Linked DNA regions of Caenorhabditis elegans. The protein of the gene in region 1 binds, or shares a complex with, the protein of each later gene. Each region holds a gene or a part of one and is shown in the gene's direction. Other genes may lie near its edges. The genes, in order: mdt-4, sur-2, mdt-31 and rgr-1.

Region 1 (4,783 bases):
AGAAACATTAGAAGCTGTAGAAGATGCAGTGGACATTCTTGAAAAAGAGGTAGCGTACACACATCCTCGAAAAGTGGCCGAGAAACAAAACATTTTAATTTCAGATGCTCTCCTTCTGCAACCTGATTCCAGTTAACTCTTGGGGATTTGATGATGATGTCAAAGAATCATTGAAGATGCGAAAACACAGTTTGGTTAATCGACAACTCAGCAAAAGTAATTTATTGATAAATTTCTTTAAAATTCTGTATGTTTTTCAGAGGAAAGAAAGTCAATGTCTGCACAACAGAAACAACATCTGGCGAAAGGCTTAGGATTGGTTCCAAACACTGTTCAAGAAGTCCTCGAGTGGATGTCTAAAAGCAAGCAGCATTCGAAAGTGCAACCACAAAAGGTTGTTGCACCGGTGAAGAGACCAGCGGATCAGAACAAGAATAAAGAAAAAGTAGTGAAGAAAGACCAGAAAAAGCAAGATAAGAAAGCTGATTCTGATTCAGAAGAGGATGATTCATCTGACGACGAGGAGAAAGAAGAAACAGACGAGCCAGTTGCTAAGAAGCAAAAGAAAGAAGAATCTTCAGATGATGATGAAGACAGTGAAGATGGAGAAGAGCCTGAAGGAAATAATGGAGCTGTAGAGGCTGAGGACAGCGATTCAACGGACGAAGAAGAAGAAACACCATCTAAACCCAACAAAACCGTAGCACAATCTACTCTGAAATCGAATGGAAAAATTGACAAGGAGATTCAAAAGTTGGAAGACGATGAAGACAATGAATCCCCCGAAATCAGACGTCAAATCGCTTTGCTGAGACTGCAGAAAAAGCTGAAGGAAATGAAAGTTGAGCGGAAAGGAAAAGGACCGGCGAAGGTAACATCAGCGATGGCTGAAAAAATGGCAGAGGAGAAGCGTTTGAAAAGACGGGAGAGCAAGCTGAAGCTGAAACAAAGAAGAGCAGAGGAGAAGAAAGGAAAAGAGGCAGCAGCTCAAGTGAAGAAAGAGACTGTTGAAAGCACAGAAAATGGCAATGAGCCTGTCGAGAAGCAGAAATCTGGAATTTCATTCAATAATCTCAAGTTTGAAATCAAAGAAGACAAGCAGAGGGGCAAGAAACAAAGAGTGAGTAAAAATATTTTTATCTGAAATATCTGAAATTTTCAGACCGCCAAAAAAGATCGAGCTCTTAAACTTACCGGACGTGACTATAAATCACTTATCGCTAAAGTCGAAGAGACAAAAGCAACAATTGCCAAAGTTCGCGAAGCTGATCCACATAAGGCTACCATCATGGAAGATGAGCTAAAGTGGGAGAAAACACTGAAAAGAGCAGCTGGTGGAAAAGTGAAAGATAATTTGGGAATGCTCAAGAAGGCTTTGGTGAAGAAGAATAAGATGAAGGATAGAAGAAAGCAGAAATGGGAGAACCGAGAGAATAAGACGGAGGGAGAGAAGCAAACGGTATGTTGATTGGTAGAAAATCCTTTAAGATTTGAATTTTTATTTTTCAGAAGCAAGACAAGAGAAAGAAGAATCTCCAGAAGCGCATCGATGACGTCAAGAAGAGAAAGATGAACAAGTTGAGAAACAAGGGAAGAATCCTCTAAACAACACACATTTATCCGCTTTTAATTTCTCGTTGTTGAACATTTTTTTGTTAATTTTTACTGTTAACTTTTTTCTTTAAATCTGTGGCCTGTTGTTAAGTTTTTAAGTTTTCAAATTATACTAAATTCTTTGAAAAATATTCTCTTTTTTTTTGAAACTTGTGCCGTTGTTTCGGTAATTAATTATTTTAAAAGTTGTTAATGTATGTTCGATGGTTGTATTGTTCTAGATCTCAAATGGCAGAAACAGATGAACGAAGTCTACGGGATTTGCTCCTGGAATCTGCAGATGATTTGGAGCATATTGTTAAAATGGTACGTTCTAAAAAAATTTGAAACAATATTATAGTTTATTTTAAAATTACTTTTTACTGTGAGTTCATCTTATAGAATTCATGAACCCACATAATCAATTATTGTTTCAGATCGTCGATACACTCATCAATCGGGACAAAAGTGTTATGCTGAAAAATGGAGAAACCGTTACGAACATTATCAAGCTGTTTGACTCAAAACAGGATAGCATAAAGACTTTGCTGAAGAGGGTTCCTGAGTTTCAAGAACGAGAGCAGCTCATTCGGACGCTTGAAGCCCACGTGGAGAAACGAGACGAAGTTATTCAACAACTTGAAACGAATTTGAAGTCATGTGAGGTGGCTCTGACGCGATCTTGTTTTCATGTAAATTTTGTTGGAAACAAAGACTTTTTTCGAAATACGTTTATTTCAGGCAAACCAGAAGCTCAAGCAAATGAAAGAAGCTGAATTGAGACCAGTCAATAGTGAGATGCTCATCAAACTGGCTCATCAGATCAGTAAGCACAACTCCGTATCTGCACCACTCACTTGGCAAATGGGAGATCCATCGCGTCCGTTTCCTCAGGAACACGAATTTCGAGCTGGTCACCTATTGAATTCAAAAGTTCAGAGCACTGGACCTCAGCTTTTACCCGGAAAGAACGTCGCTCAGAGGCCGCTTATTACGGTATGTTTATGGAAACTTGTTGAAATGTGAATCCTCACCTGAAATATTTGATAAATGCATTTATAAATGCATTTATATAAATGCAATACTTCTAATGTTTTCTACGTTAATCTGAAATTCTTTTCACACTGTAACCGAACAGCTGTGAATCACGTGATTTATGTCTTATCTTCTTACATTATCTAACAGTCATTCCTTCTAATGATCAAATTATGAGTGATAAGAAATATTCAGTTCATATTGTGATCTCTTTCCTTCTACGTTATTCGTAGTAAATTTTATAAATAAAATTAAGATTCAACGTTCAATCAATATTATTTCAGTCTCCATCCGCATCCTCATCCAACGGTGGAACAGCTCCAATTCGAACTGTCGGCACTCCTCTTATTAATTCTGCTCCGACTGGAGATTTCAGTCCACGAACTGGTTTTGGCACCGACGAGCCTCCACCGATTCAACAGCAAGTACTCCGTGGAGCCACTCCAAATGAAAAGCAATGGCAGAATCCGGGAGTTTCAGGAGCCACCTCAACGCAATCCCCTTACAACCGTGTCTCGCAGGTCAGTGCAAACCGAGTGTACATAGACAGTGTTACTGGCGGCCCGCAAATGATGCACGGGTGGCGCAGTGGTAACGCGTTTGCCCGTTGTTCAGCTGTCCACCAGTTCGATTCTCAATGCACACAGAAAGTCGAGATTGCCGGCTTCAAAGGCTTTATCGTTGATTACGTGTGCTATAACAACGCCATAGGTATCATTCTTCGTCTTCTTAGGCGCGGAACATCTAAATATGGCTACATTTATCTGCTATTTTATAATTTTCCAATAAATAACATATTTTCAGAGTCCTTCTTCCTCGCCAAACGTGAAGCTGAAAATTACTGGACTTCCGAATCGTCCAGGAGGTATCGATCAAGTTCAAGATGTGCGGGATGTCGAACAAATGTCGTCGGACAGCTCCAACTCGTCAGATAGTTCAGATGATGAAGGCGCATCGAAAAAGACTGGCAGTAGCAATAAATAATGAAAGATCTCTGTAAATTCTGGTATTTTACTTATTGTACGTTGATAAATAAACACAATTTTCTATATATCTTGTGTTTAACAGTGACACTAACTGATTGCATGTGGTTCAGTGTCCACGCCATGTTTACCGCTATGCCAGCTGCCTTTCTTTCTTTCTTTATGTCCTCTAATCTATTTACTCCTTGAACTTTTTTTTCAACAATTCTAGTAACTAATTATATTTAGAAATATGCCAAATTTTGGAATATACCTAAGTTAGCTTTTGATTCAAATCTTATTTTAAAAAAACACTCACCCCATCTAGAGACGCAGAAACGAAAGGGACCACCCATGACAAGAGAGATGCGGAGTACGTGAAAAGATGCACAAAACATGTTGCAGTGAAAGTGTTGTTAGCCATCACTTTTTTTTGTTTTTGTGGGCTCAAATCAGTTTGAAGAAAAGTTGAAGTTGTAAAATTTCGCCTCCTTTCGTTTTTTATGTCATTTTATATTACTTGCCCTTTGGTAATAGATAAGAAATTATCTCTCCCATCAGACACATTCCCACACATCTTCTTTTGACTTGCCTCCACACAACTAATCTAGATATAGATGGGCGGTCCTGATTCTTGAATACAATACATGTGGAATGTTTTGTTTCGGAAGGATTCTTCAAGATTTCATTTGAATTTTCTTAATTGAATTAATACTTTCTATCTTATTATACTCTTAAATTTGCGATTTTTCGGCAAAAAATACTGCATCTGGTCTCGACAAAGCTTTCTTTAATTTGTTGTTAAATACAAACGGATGTGCACCTTTAAAGAGTACTGTACTTTCAAACTTTTGTTGCTATATAATTTTCATCGATTTTCCGATAGTTTTCGATAGAATAAAGCATAAATTTCACCAAAATCAACACGACAGTTTGAACACACCTTTCTTATTTAGAAAAAATGAAACAATTGTCGTGGCGAGATCAGGCATCGTACTTTTGACGCAAAACATTGCGTCTAGATAATAATTTCCATGTTTTCAGATATGGTAACTGAAATGAGCCATGCAGAATCCATCAAACGAGTTGTCGACCAAAAACTCTCCTCACACGAAGGATTTGAATCCCATATGTTCAAGGTAATTCCAAAATCATTTAAATCATCAAGTTCGTCCTTCAGATTGGATCTTACA
Region 2 (5,107 bases), on another chromosome or scaffold:
TATGGAAAACTACCAAATCTTCCATATGTACCAGGAAAAGATGGAGCCGGATTCGTCGAACTTGTGGGAGAAAGCGTTAAAAATGTGAAAGTCGGCGATCGAGTCTGGTATGGATCAGAAGCGGACAGTACAGCAGAGTATGTTGCGGTGAATCGACCATTCGAGTTGCCGGAAGGTAAAAGAATCATTGCGCAACGGGTTACTGTAGCTAGTTGCCCGCGTGGCGAGACCTAAGATATAGCTAAAATCTCATTTCAGGAGTTTCGTTTGAGGAAGGAGCTTCTCTCGGAGTGCCTTATCTTACCGCTTATCGTGCATTGTTTCATCTTGCTGGTGCAAAGGTTTGACTTTTATTTATTATTAAATGGTTCATAGAGAATATTAAAATTTTGGCAAAAACGTATCAAAATTAGGAGGCAAAATCAATACAAATCAATCTTTACAAAGCCAACTTGACCATCTGTTCCATCTCAAACAAGGGGCGGTCTAAAATACGACCATCTGCTGTTCCCTCCCAAAACTAATTCTCTTCTCAGACTGGCGACGTTATACTTGTACACGGAGCATCTGGTGGAGTGGGAAGTGCACTGATGCAGCTGGCTGCCTGGAGGAACATTGAAGCTGTTGGCACTGCTGGATCTGCTGATGGGATCCGGTTCGTGAAGAGTCTTGGTGCACGGAATGTCTATAATCATTCGGATAAGCAATATGTGTCGAAAATGAAAAATGATTATCCAGGAGGCTTCAACCACATTTTCGAAATGGCTGCTCACACAAATCTGAACACGGACCTCGGATTGCTGGCTCCACGTGGTAGAGTTGCAGTAATTGGAAATCGCGCCGAGACCACGATCAACGCAAGACAACTTATGGTTACAGAAGGAGCTGTTTACGGTGTAGCATTGGGAATGTCTTCCGAGGCTGAGCTCTTGGACTTTGGCATCAACATTGTCTCATTCTTGAAGGAAACCGAGTTTCGTCCACTTATAAACAAATTGTATCGTCTCGAGCAATTAGGACTGGCTCATGAGGAAATTATGAACAACAAGGGAGCGAAAGGAAATCTTGTAGTGCAAATCGAACATTAATTCATTATTTTAACACGCCATTTAAAGGAATGTAAATGAGAATAAACTGTACTTTTTATGAAGATATGAAAAAAATAAATTAATCTAGATTTCAGCTTCTTGAAACTGATTTTCAACAGAAATTTGGCAAATCAGTCCAAATGTCAGTTTACCTACAATAAAAGTCAAGATATTTAAATGTGTGAAATGTATTATATATGTAGTAGTTTTTTCGCAGAACTCTGGTAGAGTTCAAATCCGCAGAATATGCGTGAACGAAGAGACCACACACCAAGCGCGCTCTATTGTCACGCGTGAGAGAGAAGAGGCGCAGTAATATCTTTCTCAAACAATGCGTTTTTAATTTTTATCAACCTATTTTGTTTCAATTTATTATTTTAACATTTTTCTTTTGAAAATTATTACATTTTCAGGCAACAAAATGACGGATAAACCTGGTTCCGCAGAAGATACAATTGAAATGGATGACACGTGCTCTCCGCAATTTGTTCAGGAAGTCAATCGAATAAAGAGTCAAATTAAAAGTCTCGTTGTGAGTTTTTTAAATCAAAAATAACGCTTAAAAAATTAAACATAACTCATAAAAATATATTCTAGGAAGAAAACCACACAAGAAAATTTTTTCGACCTCTTACGTCGAATATTGGCGACGAGACGGCGATTTTACGGATTCAATTCAATAATATGATGAGTAAAATGGAAGAAAAAGAAAAACAATCTTTAGTGAAAGAGCTAATAAAAATGGTTCATCACGTGGCGGAAAAGAACTCTCCTGATCGAGTTTTTGTTGGGTGAGAATTTAAAAATTCGAAAAAAAAACAATTTTAACAGTTCTTTTGCATATAATCAGAGGTTTTAACAGTGTTTTATTCCAGAACAAACTACGAACGTGTCGTAGATCAGCTTCTCCGATATGCTCATCAAAAAGGTGCGATTTCAACGAATCTGTGCGCAGAAGGACTCATAATGACTTCGGACTTCCGATTATGCAGTAGAATATGCCAAGAAAAATGGAAATTCATCAATGATTGCATTCCAAAAATCGATTACAAAGGAATTCGGAATATCCTCCGATATATTCTGGAATCACAGCTCCGTCGCCTACCGTATTCACTATCTCCGGAGCAAGTAAACGAAATCCGCATTGTTGAGAATGTAATACTGCATATTGTGGATAGAGACTCCAATTTGATGCCTCCACTCATCACATTATCAGAAATTATGAGAGGAATGCCGAAACAGGCGCTTATGCTGCCGGTGAGGGGAAAATTTTAAAAAAAATTGCTGAAAATATAAAGACAATGTAAAAATTTAGATTTGTTAATTTTTTTTTTCGGCAAAAAAAACACAAAAAAAAGATCTCTCTACATTCAAAAAGTCGAATTTTTTTTTGGCGGAAACCAAAAAAAAGTTCGACCATTCTCGCAAAGTTTCTAATTTCTGTGCATTTAGTTTTTGAGTTACAGAAAGTAAACCAAATTGAATACTACAGAAGTTTTAAAAAACTTAATTTAAGCCATAAAAAAATGACGGGAAATTTCTTCTGATTTCTAAATTTTCAGTTTCTCAACATTTTATTTGAAGTTTTTACCAAGGGTGGGCGGCAATTACCGTTCGGCAAATCGGGCAATTTGCTGGTTTACCGATTTGCCGTTTACCGGATGTTAAATTTTCCGCAAATGTTTTGAGGGATTTTTTCATAAGACTGAAACACTTAAAACTGTGACTTTTTGGGCTGTTTTTCCCTTTTCCTCAGATATTTTTATAGAATTTGCTTACTTTTCAAAAAAGATGTAGAAAAAAACATTCAAACACTCACAGGATGCGTACAATTCTGAAATTCCCAAAAAATTAGTGCGAAACCACAATTTGCCAAAAATTTTCGACAATTGGTATTTTTCCGGTAAATTCGGAAATTTGCCGGTTTCACGATTTGCCGGAAATTTCAATTCCGGCACTTTGCCGATTTGCCGAAAAAATCGTTTGCCACACACCCCTGATTTGTATGCTGATTGACTGAAAAATCACCTTCATCGACGAAAAATTATCTGAATGTACAAAACCACAATTTGCCGAAAAATTTCGGCAATTTGCTGATTTTCCGGCAATCTGCTGATTTGCCGGAAATTTCAATTCCGGCAATTGTGGATTTTTTTTGCAAAAAGCGGCTCGAGATGAGTCACGGATCGACCCATCTCGATTCATTTACCAAGCCTATATTTCTTAAGATTAAATTAAAATGCCAAATATTACAGAGACTAACGGAGAAACTGGCAAGCTTATCCGTCCATTTCCGACCAATTGCCGACCTATCCCACGTGTGTGGCCGTGGATTCGTTTACCCCATTCCACTACATCCATCATTCTATCCATTAACATCGTGTTGGGAAGAACATGGATTAAATGCCAGTAATACAATTGTTCAACCTCATCATACACTTCCATATCGTCCTGAACATACTTCTACATACTTGTACACCCTCTACATGATTCTTCGTCAGCCATTGGGAAAGGACTCGGTATGAAATTGAGAATATATATATTTTAAATAACTTATCCCGAATTAAGTTTCAGCTTCATCCTCCGAGCAAAACGAAGACAAAGACAAATTGGGAAATGTTGATATCTGTAATGATATGTGAATCAATGGCCGAAGCAGAATCTCTACCGGAAACTGAGCCAATTCCACGATATCAATGGGACAATATTGTTAATATTGTTATTTATGGGATTACACAACATTTATTGTTAGTGTATTTCAAATTTTTCGATTTTGCGAAACCCGAAAAACAAAAATATTCCTTTTTTCAATTATTTTTCGCAAATTCAGAAAAAAAATCCAATTTTTTACTTTTAAAGTAAAATTCTAAAAAATCCGAACATTTCGATTTCCGACATTCAGGAAAGCTAAATTTTTGGGTTTTTCAAAGAGAAAATCGAAAAAAAAAAGATTCTATTTGAAAAACACAAGTTTTGAATTTCAAAATTGTCTTGAAAAGCCAGAAATTTGAAAGTAGAGCTAATAATTTAATTTAAAAACTAAGCGTTTCAATTTTTGGTTTATTTCTGAAGGAAAAAAAAATCCAAAATCAAAATTCTTAGGATAAAAGCTATAATTTAAACAAAATCTTTTGAAAATTCTTCAAAAATCTGAATGTTCTTGACTTTTAGACCTTCAAAAAAAAATCGAAAAACCAAAATATTTCTTTTTTTCAATTATTCTTAGAAAATTCCAGAAAAATCCAATTTTTCACTTCTTAAATAAAATTTCGAAAAAAAATACCGAAACTTAAGATTTTCTTGAAATGTTTTTAAAAAAAAATTTACCAAAAAACAAAACTTTAGATTTCCGACATTTAGAAAAATTGAAAACCAAAATCTTTAATTTTTCTTGTAACTTTTTCTTTTAAAAAATCCAAAAAGAGAAGTTTTGGATAATAGATATTCTCGAAAATCTGGAAAAATTATTTTTTAAGTCTAAAATCTATCGAAATTTTGAGTTTTTGTTCCCTAAAAGCTAATGTTTTCGATATTGAGACCTTAGAAAAAACCGAAAAATAGCATTTTCAGAGTCCCAAAAACATTCTTCAATGTTCTCAAAAATTTGATAAAACGATGCAAGTACACACGGGCTCGCGACGAAGTTATGTGGATCGTTTTTCAAGTTGTCGGCTCTCTGTCTAATTTAACACGACTCGATGATGCGGTGACTGAAATTGTTGAGCTGTACAATGAGCTGTTTGATGGAGATGTTGTTTGGATGGGTGCATCGGATCATCCCGCGTTGTTTGCAAGGTTTCTTGCTGCAGCTGGTACTTGGATGATTTTGGAGAAAGATGTCAGTAGTAGTCTTTTTTGTTGGAAAATTCTAAAAAAGAGAGTCTGCAATCCAGAAAAACTACAAAAAATTGATGCAGCTTTTCAAATTTTTCAATACATTTTTTCACAACTTTTGAGGTCGGTAAAATGGCTCCAAATATGAATTTTTGCAGTTTTTAAAAATGATGTTATGTTCAGGG
Region 3 (3,749 bases), on another chromosome or scaffold:
CAAATGAACTCATGAAAGAAGTTTATGAGAAATTCGCCAACGAAAATCCGGATATGAATGAGACTCCCGAAGAATTTTACAAACGTGTATCTGCCTTGGAGAGACCAGTAAGATCAAAAATAAATTTTTTAAAACTCATATTTTTATTATTACTATTATTATTATTATTATTGCAGGCCGCCGCTAGAATTCGAGCTCTGAAGAATAAGCCGGATTATCAAAAAATCCAAGATAAAATCAACGAAATTGTTCAAAAGCACAAAAATGCAGCCGAAATCGACAAAGAACTACACTCCAGTGAAATTCTCTCATCGCTCACAATCACGGAAGTGTTAGTTGAAAACCAAAAAAAAAACACCATATTTTAATTACATTTTGTTTTTCAGTGATGTTCGTTACATGATAGAAAGAAGCAAGACTTTGACGCGTTACTACGAGGCTCGACAGTTTAGAAAGGTAAATTAATTGTACAGAATATTAACCCATTGAAAAATGTTCAGAACGTGGATCAAATCGGATGTCGTGTTCGTCCGATTAAGATCGATTTGGATCCAGAAACAATGCCAACATTTGATCCAAATGATGCTGAAGATGAAAAGCAAATGGTCATTGTGGAGTCGTTGTGCTCTGTAATTCGTGCTCACGACGTAAAAGAATGGGGCACTAAGTTTTGGAATGAACATCGCTTCACAGCGCCGAAATACGCTAAAAGATTTGTGGAGAATGTGAGTCAGAATAGAGAAAATAAAGTTTAATGAAAATTCACATTAAAATTCTCACAGATGGTCATAAACAAGTCAAAAGAAGTCGCTGAATGGTATTTACATGTTAACTCAAAGTCATGCAATCAAAATGATGTACATTGCCCAGCCAAGTCAACTCTTCCTCCGACTGCTGCATCATTCGATCTTCACAAAATGCTTCAAAAAGCCCGTTCTGGATTGAATCGTCTTTCTGCTGAACACTTTTACCCTCTTGATGTCTCTCTGGCTCAACAATTCAACTTCAAAAACGACGAGAGAGAGGGCCTCGACGGAGACAGACGTATGCATATCGGGTTGTCTGATGAGGTCACCAATAGTAAAGAGTATGCGAATTTTTATGTAAGTGAATATATTATATTCTTATTTTTATTTTTGATAATTTTTCAGGCTCGAATGCGTTCGATTCTTCTCGAACCAATGCGTCTTGGAATTGCTCGTGAATCGTCGTCTGATGAAACCAAGCGGCTTGTGCGCTGTCTTGCAGAGGAACGCGCCTGCGATGAAGAACAACAAGTTACCTGTGACCAAATAAGACGACGCCGGATGCCTGATGACGAGATCTATGTTACTCCAACTTCAATCTCTAGAGAACTAAATGTAAAGTTTTTTGCGTTGTCTCCACTGCTAGACGTTGTTTTTTTTCAGAACGGCATGAAAATCGATACCACCGAGTTGTTGGCTAATCTGGACAAGAATTCTGCGAAGAAAATCAGAATGAAAAGGAAGATTGGAGAGGTGAGATGTGACACTAAAATTAAACTTTTACCCCTAGTAATCCTTGCGGTACTATTATCTATATTTTTCTCATAGTCCTCAATGAAACAGTATATTTTTCAGACCGTTGCGACAGTTGCAGCGCGTCCTGCTCGTCCACCGCGTTCATCTGCAGGTACACCCACTCCAAGTCACGTCTCGATCGATACGGAGAGTAATATTTCGCTCAAAGTGGAGTTAGATTGAATATTCTATTATTGAACAATATAACTATTTTACCCAACTCTATGTCATCCTCTCCTGTGCAGTTTTACATCACTTTTTTAAACTGAACCCATTAAAAGTTGATCTCCTAAGATTATTTCACTTTTGTTTTATTAACAATCTCAGCTCTTTATGAACACCATCTGTTAAATTTGTTTTTCTTTTTCTAATAAAATGGTTTTATAGGCATGGGTCGTTTTAGTTTCAATCGATACGGTATGTTTCCATTGGAATAATATATTTAACTCATTTCGTAGTACGGATTTCACCGTATAGGTGAAAAAAGGTCATAATATCAAAATTTTGTAAATTTCTGTAATTTTTCGAAGCTTGAATTCCATTTTTTTTTCTTCAGGCTACAATACAATGCAGATGGAGAGTGTAGAAAGTGAAAAGACGAGATTTGAAGTTGAATGTGAATTCGTGCAGGCTCTTGCAAATCCAAATTATCTTAATTGTGAGTTTATTCACATACACTAGCCGAGAATAGAGAAAAACGTATTTTTATTCTAAGTTTCTTGTTTTTTTATGCACTCTTTTTCCTGCAAATTTCATATTTTCCAGTTCTCGCGCAACGTGGTTATTTCAAAGAAGAATATTTTGTCAACTATCTCAAATATCTTCTCTATTGGAAAGATCCTCAATATGCCAGATGCTTGAAATTTCCTCAATGTCTGCACATGCTTGAAGCACTGCAGAGTCAGCAATTTCGCGATTCGATGGCTTACGGTAGTTCAAATTTTATTTAATCTATCAGAAGAATAGTAACTTATTTTCAGGACCAAGCGCGAAATTCGTAGAAGATCAAGTGGTTCTCCAATGGCAGTTTTATCTTCGGAAACGGCATCGTTTGTGTATGATGCCTGATGAGGGACAAGAGCTTGAAGAATCTGAAGATGAAGCTGATATTCGACAAAAGGACACAGAGGATGAAGATGATGAGGAAACGATGAAGAAACCGGATGCTGACACAGCCGAAAAGAATTCCACAACTTCTACCGTTTCAAAGAAAGAAAAATAAACATAAAAAATGTAAATCAAATAAAACTTCATCACCACTTTATTGAAATTGAAACCTACATTTTACAGAACCGTGAATTTTTTCGAAGCCTGGACAGAAATCAGAGAATATTTGGAAAGTTAGGTTAAGATTTTACTTTCTATTCGAAAATCTTGTATTGGGAACAATTGTAACGTCGTTGACAAATGTCTGATTACGGAAAGCTGTTGTCTCGAGTAGAGTAGAGTCGTCGTTGCTGCATATCTCTTTCTTCTTCCGGCTTGTAGCAGCACGGAATTCAGTTGTAGAAGTGAAAAAATTGATGAAGAAACTACGATAAGAAGCAGCGAACAGATCACGGTCCTCGGGCTTGATAGCGGGGAATCCAACTGGAACAGCACGAAGAACTTCTTCATCGGAAAATTGGAAAGATGTGAAGTCATGACCATCGATTAGTTGATGCTGTCCTGTGCGAACTTCTAGCCTAAATAATTTCAAATGTAATACCATTTCATCTGTATTCAAATTAACAATCGAAGTCTGGTTCGCATGGTTTCTTCACCCCAAACGACATGCACAAAGAATTTGGCTCCAGGAAGAATACGTCGCTGGAATGAGGATGTTGTTGAGGCTGTCGAAAGCGAAGACGATGTACGAAAATTGTTTTCATCGTGAAGATCAATATAAGATGAGTCGATGCGAATGTCAACACGCTTATCCGATTTTTTCTTTACAATGAAACCGGGTGCAGGAAAGAAAGCTACACATCCGTCTGGAAGCTGTCGCATCGCTGAGTCGAACACTTTAATCATCGCAAAGCCGTCTCTGAAAGAAATTGTTATGTAAGCGTCGTCTATTTAGCCTACCTTGTTCCTGCAGAGTTGCTGATCTTAAAAGAGATTCGTTTTGCGCATGAGGTGCACATTGCATACTCTGACTGATTTATAGTTTGTTGCAAATCTGGCGAAGTGGGCACGAACTTCGCAATTCCACCATTACCCCACATC
Region 4 (5,252 bases), on another chromosome or scaffold:
CACTTCTGTAAAAATAGAATTGACATTTTTATTAATCGTTAAAACTAAAAATTACCTGAGATCTCTGATAATAAAGAAAAGAAGATATGTCTCAGCATAGAGAGCCTTGTCGTAATAGGCGATGTGAACTGCTTCAAACTGGTCTGTTTTGATGGCAAAATCGATGCATTCTTGATACTTGCGACGCGATTCCTCGTATTTTTCGTCGAGTGACAAGCATTTCGCCTCAATTAGCATAATTTTGGTCTCAGACACAGCTCCTTCCGTATTATTCTCGTTGAACAATTTCACGGCTGCAATCTGTTCAGCACATATTGACAAAAGCTTCTTCTTCTCATCTTGATTACTCTCGACGTCTCTTTCACATCCTTCGAGGCACACGGAAGCGAACAAAATTCGAGCTTGACCGATATACTTCTCTCCGTTCTTCTTATTGCTGGTGTAATCAATGAGATCCTCAGCAAACCGTCGAGCCTTGGAGAACTTTTCCATTTTGAGTGCCTGCTGGACGATGCGACGTGTGGAATCACATGCTTCTGGGTAGTTGAAGATCAATCTGAAAAATTAAAGTTATAGAATGCCCAGCCCATTTCCGTTTAATTCACTTACTTGAACATGTTCAACTCATGTTCGAAAAACTCCAAGGCCTTGGCGTCGTGGTTCAAATGCCTGCACACTCTTCCGTAATACATGTAGATTGTACCAAGCAGTTGAAAATTGGAGGTTCCGAACTCCATTGTGTCCTCTAAGCGTCCTTTTCCATCCTCGTATTGTCCCAATTTCATGGCCGTCACCGCGCTTTTCAGCATTGCTTCGATGACTTCATCCTTAGGGCCATCATAATAAGAGACGTCCATTCGTTTTGCGAATGTGGAAACTTCTGAAATAAATCGAAAATTGCGAGCAAAAATAAAAAAATAGAGGAATTTTACGCAAACAGACAAAAATTTCACGCGGATCTGCACGAATACACGAAATATTTAAAACGGGGAAAGTTTCTTCAAATATCTCACGAGGTTTAATAGACTATTACACATTTTGTTTAAAATTTTACAATTTTTCAATAAAACAACCGCTGAAAAACAAATAAACTTGAACAATGACTCGAGAATCTCTGTGGGGAAGTGAAACTTGGCGGTTAACGCGTTGTTTTTTCGCGCGCTCTCAACTTCTAATTTAGCGCCGCTTTCTGATATGTCGTCAAATGTGTTGCCGATGTACGCAAGTACACCATCACGCGCATTTGCACACTCAGTGGAGTTTGCAAACAAATTTTCAAAAATAAATTAAATACTGTTTATTGTTTAATTTTATGCATATTTGTACAATTTGAATGTTATAGTTTGATTAAAACTATTCGAAACATGTAAATAAACTTTAAATTTGTAAATGTGTCGCTTCCCAGACCGTATATTGTGTATTCTTCAAATAAATATGTATTTCGCAGAAACTGTCTTCCCAACTCCGAGCCGCACTGGCGGATAATTCGCCGGCTGCTCCAATATCACCGGCTCCATCTGGCTCGGCCTTGTCACTCGATGAGTCGTCTGGAATTTCAGACCGCGATGTACATTCTTCTCAGGAACAAACGGCACATCTCTCCGAAGTCGATGTAAAATCGATTCATTCATCGGATAGCGAAGATGGTATGCTGCAGTAGAACAAGGAAGATATTTATTTTCTATAATTTCCAGAACCAGCGCAAAATCCCTTACCAGAAGTTCCTGCAAATTGTGGCCCTCCGACGATACCTCTAAATGTTCTATTAGACTTTGCAATTCAACATGTTTACCACGAGATCACAGTTCTTGCGGAATTGATGCAGCGGAAGACAAATGATCAAGGAGAGCAGGAGCGGAAAATGTCTCTTGTACATTTTGCACACGCTACTCGCAGTCAATTTTTGAAACTTGTAGCATTAGTAAAATGGATACGGATTTCGAAGCGAATGGATGTTTGTTATGTAAGCTTAATTCGCTCGATTTCGATCGAAAAAAAAACATTAATTTTCCAGTCTATCGACTACCTTCTCGATCTCCAATCACAATATTTCATCGACACGGCCGATCGATTAGTCGCAATGACTAGGGGAGATCTCGAATTAGCTCGTCTTCCAGAATACCATATTGCGCCAGCTATTGATGTTCTTGTATTAGGAACGTATAATCGAATGCCATCGAAAATCAAAGAAGCTTTCATTCCTCCAGCAAAGATCACACCGAGAGAACAGAAACTCGTCACTTCCCGATTAAATCAGCTCATTGAAAGTCGGCTTTCTCGACTTTCAAGCGGAATCCCACCAAATATAAAAGAAATTCACATCAACAATGGACTTGCAACTTTACTGGTTCCTGGAGAGTTTGAAATCAAGATTACATTGCTCGGTGAAACAGAAATGACAAAGTGGACTCTATTGAATATCAAAATTCTCGTGGAAGACTACGAACTTGGAATGGGACTTCCTCTTGTACATCCATTACAGCTTAATCAGCTTCATGGAGTACTGCAATCTCGGATGAATGTTTCCTTAAATCCTATTAAAGAAGCTTTCTCCTTTTTGCACAGTTTCTGTGTTTCACTACAATTGGATGTTTTGTTTTGTCAAACTTCAAGATTGGCAGCTGGAAGGTTACGTGATAACATTACAATCGAAAAGTATGACCCAAAAGAACGAGTTTTGGTAGTTGGATACTGGGTTAAAAGATCGAAGAGTCGAAGATTAACTGTAGGACAAGTCAAATGTGATGCACAATACAGAGTTCAGATCTATGAAGATCCAAATGACAAGCTAGGTGGACTTAAAGTTCGTCATTTCCCTCATGCTCCTCAGCTCGGACGACTTGATTCTGGAGCTGGAATGTTGTCAATTGATCGACTATTATCAGAAACATATGTGGTCAGATGTAAGGAACGATTGATGCGGTTGAGAAGAATCCTTGAAGCTGCTGAACCAAGATTAGAAGTGAAGATGACTGGAATCTCTGCACCGTCACTTTCTCTTGCTCTCCTACCGGATACCTCTTCAAAGGATGAAATGATGACGGTATCTGTGAATTCATTCTGTGGAAAAGTGCTCTGCAACGTTCACATTCTCAGTGAGTTGTGTCGTTTCAAATTCCAGCATATTAATTTTAAAAAAATACTCTATTTTTTACCAAAATTATAAAAGAAATAAACTTATTCATATTTCAGGTGCTGAACACGAAGATGTCCTGGCTTTTGGAAAAGCTCTCTACAGTAGTCAATGTTCAGCGCACACAATTCAAATGTATCTTAGAAAACTTCGTGTCGCCCTCGTGATAGAACGATATCGACGATCAGTGAAAGCTCTTCCAGTTCGTGAAGTTCAAGAAGCTGAGCTTCTTCCATTTGCAAAGGAATGTCTTGGTGATGCTCCTGCCCAACGAATTATTCTTCAGTTCCTTCGATCTGAAGACTATTATCTGCTTGTCACATTCTCTCCCGATGAAAAAGCAGTTGTTAAGACTCACATTCAACTTTTGGAAGTTGTTGGAGACCGAGCTCAGTTCATTCAGTTGGAGGATGATGAGATGAATGGAATGCATGTAAAAGAAGCGATTAATCAAGGAACGATGCGTTTCTCGCCATCTCATAAAACATCACTTCAAGAAGAGTGTTCGAGAGAGCAGAGACTTGCATTTGCAGTGGCTACTGTAGAAGATCGGATCACGTACATGTATCTGGCGGCTGAATTAATGAAAAAGGGAATTGGAGTTGATGTGAGAAAAGATTCAGCACACGTTCCAGGAGGGCTTGCTCTACATATCACGGAGTAAGTTTTTTTCTAGATTTCGAGCACTTATATTAAAAATTGAGCAGCAGCGTCAAGAAAAAATTCTAAGGTTCGAAATAGTCTCAAGTTCAGAAATATCACAAAAGACAAACGAAAAAATCGCTTCAGAAATTTTTCAATATTGACTGAATTCTCGGTTTGAATTTCATCCAAGTTTTGAGAGTTTGATTTTTTATTCTTTCACAATTTGTTTTTCTTTTTTCTTTTGTGGTTTTATTTTTCTGAATTTGACATTATTTTGAATTTTTGAAACAAAATCCCCAATCTCGCTAAATACTTCATCTTTAAACATTTTCCGCCAGTCTTAAAATGTAATACTGCCAGTATTCATGATTTGAAAACAAATTGAGAAAATTGAAAAAATTGACTTTTTCAGACAAATTTTATTTCGTCCGAAACAATTTTTAAAAATCTTGTAATTTTCAGTGTGAAAAATGTTGTTCCATTCGAGGCAAGCGAATTCTTTGAATGTTGTATCAGATGCTGCCTTCGTCTCGATAATCGAAATCGCTACACATTCCAATTCGAAATGTGCTTTGAAAATATTCCATTGGTTCGAGACGTACCGCATGGTCTCCCACATCGTCGGGATGGTGAACCGGTACGTCATTTCTTATTTAATTTTAACTTAAATTCTCAGAAAAGATTGCCGTGCCGCCCGAATTATGATCGGTGTCGTATTGTTGTCGTTCTTAGAATATTAGAACAGATGAGAATGCAGTTTTTTTTAAAAATATATTTATTCTACTTTTTCGGTTTTGGTATCTATCCTAGCTTTTAGAAAATAGAATTTCCTGTGATGACACATTTAAATATTAGTTTTTGATTTCAGAAAGATCGCACCAGTAAGGTTAGTTTTATTGCTTCGGATTGTGCATGATATGTTGCTTTTGCATGCTTCTTGTCTAACCATTTATGTTTCCTCACTGAGAATATCGATTTCTTGATTTTTTTTGCAATAATTCCCGATTCTTGCAAAATTTTGAATCAAGTTTTCCGAAATTTTCATTCGGAAACAGGAAAACATTTTAAAGAAAAAATTCAATTCAAGTGGTTTTTCCAAGAAAATTTCCCAGAAAATAGAATTTACGCTTTTTAATTTATTAAAATTATACATATCTTAATACTCGATTTGGATAATTTACGTACTTTCGAGTTAATCTATTTTTTATACTAATTTTCAAGTTTTTTTCCCGCAAAATTTTGGTTTCTTGACTATTTTTACGGATAATTTTTTTTTAATCTTTCAGGAAACTAACATGTTTTTAAAAAAATTTATTTAGTTTATTTTGATGAGAAAAAACATATGAAAACATGTAATTTTCTACAAAAAAAATCAGAAAAATGAGCGAATTATCCTAACAACGAAATCTCGAAAAACCAAAATTATAGATTTAAAAAAAATCGAAAAATCGAAACTCTTGATTATTACTTCCGA

Evidence for each region.
Region 2: mdt-4 (region 1) and sur-2 share a complex: the UniProt entries of both Caenorhabditis elegans proteins name them as parts of the mediator complex.
Region 3: mdt-4 (region 1) and mdt-31 share a complex: the UniProt entries of both Caenorhabditis elegans proteins name them as parts of the mediator complex.
Region 4: mdt-4 (region 1) and rgr-1 share a complex: the UniProt entries of both Caenorhabditis elegans proteins name them as parts of the mediator complex.

The regions. Positions count from the first base shown.
Region 1 is NC_003280.10:4,941,002-4,945,784, reverse strand, and holds mdt-4 (Mediator of RNA polymerase II transcription subunit 4), read left to right. Parts: upstream 1-1,835; 5' UTR 1,836-1,842; coding exon 1,843-1,920; intron 1,921-2,030; coding exon 2,031-2,285; intron 2,286-2,334; coding exon 2,335-2,589; intron 2,590-2,912; coding exon 2,913-3,149; intron 3,150-3,265; exon of another isoform or gene 3,266-3,432; coding exon 3,433-3,612; coding exon of another isoform or gene 3,613-3,622; 3' UTR 3,623-3,678; downstream 3,679-4,783. Other genes in the region: SURF6 homolog gldi-11, read left to right, coding at 1-49, 105-216, 261-1,120, 1,163-1,459, 1,510-1,605; ZK546.19 (uncharacterized protein), read right to left, coding at 3,467-3,622, 3,910-4,014; cblc-1 (MMACHC-like protein), read left to right, coding at 4,637-4,729, 4,771-4,783. UniProt on the Caenorhabditis elegans protein: Component of the Mediator complex, a coactivator involved in the regulated transcription of nearly all RNA polymerase II-dependent genes.
Region 2 is NC_003279.8:14,784,199-14,789,305, reverse strand, and holds the start of sur-2 (Mediator of RNA polymerase II transcription subunit 23), read left to right. Parts: upstream 1-1,502; 5' UTR 1,503-1,509; coding exon 1,510-1,620; intron 1,621-1,685; coding exon 1,686-1,879; intron 1,880-1,963; coding exon 1,964-2,345; intron 2,346-3,343; coding exon 3,344-3,607; intron 3,608-3,662; coding exon 3,663-3,835; intron 3,836-4,658; coding exon 4,659-4,926; intron 4,927-5,107. Other genes in the region: F39B2.3 (15-oxoprostaglandin 13-reductase), read left to right, coding at 1-175, 259-341, 537-1,088. UniProt on the Caenorhabditis elegans protein: Component of the Mediator complex, a coactivator involved in regulated gene transcription of nearly all RNA polymerase II-dependent genes.
Region 3 is NC_003279.8:8,964,200-8,967,948, forward strand, and holds mdt-31 (Mediator of RNA polymerase II transcription subunit 31), read left to right. Parts: upstream 1-1,914; 5' UTR 1,915-1,930; coding exon 1,931-1,958; intron 1,959-2,097; coding exon 2,098-2,199; intron 2,200-2,306; coding exon 2,307-2,471; intron 2,472-2,521; coding exon 2,522-2,763; 3' UTR 2,764-2,802; downstream 2,803-3,749. Other genes in the region: snpc-4 (snRNA-activating protein complex subunit 4 homolog), read left to right, coding at 1-107, 177-331, 387-456, 501-725, 783-1,103, 1,152-1,361, 1,410-1,547, 1,602-1,724; spd-2 (Spindle-defective protein 2), read right to left, coding at 2,896-3,226, 3,274-3,567, 3,609-3,749. UniProt on the Caenorhabditis elegans protein: Component of the Mediator complex, a coactivator involved in the regulated transcription of nearly all RNA polymerase II-dependent genes.
Region 4 is NC_003281.10:9,392,285-9,397,536, forward strand, and holds the start of rgr-1 (Mediator of RNA polymerase II transcription subunit 14), read left to right. Parts: upstream 1-1,819; coding exon 1,820-1,963; intron 1,964-2,014; coding exon 2,015-3,095; intron 3,096-3,192; coding exon 3,193-3,793; intron 3,794-4,240; coding exon 4,241-4,415; intron 4,416-4,646; coding exon 4,647-4,664; intron 4,665-5,252. Other genes in the region: gpr-2 (G-protein regulator 2), read right to left, coding at 1-5, 56-556, 610-857. UniProt on the Caenorhabditis elegans protein: Component of the Mediator complex, a coactivator involved in the regulated transcription of nearly all RNA polymerase II-dependent genes.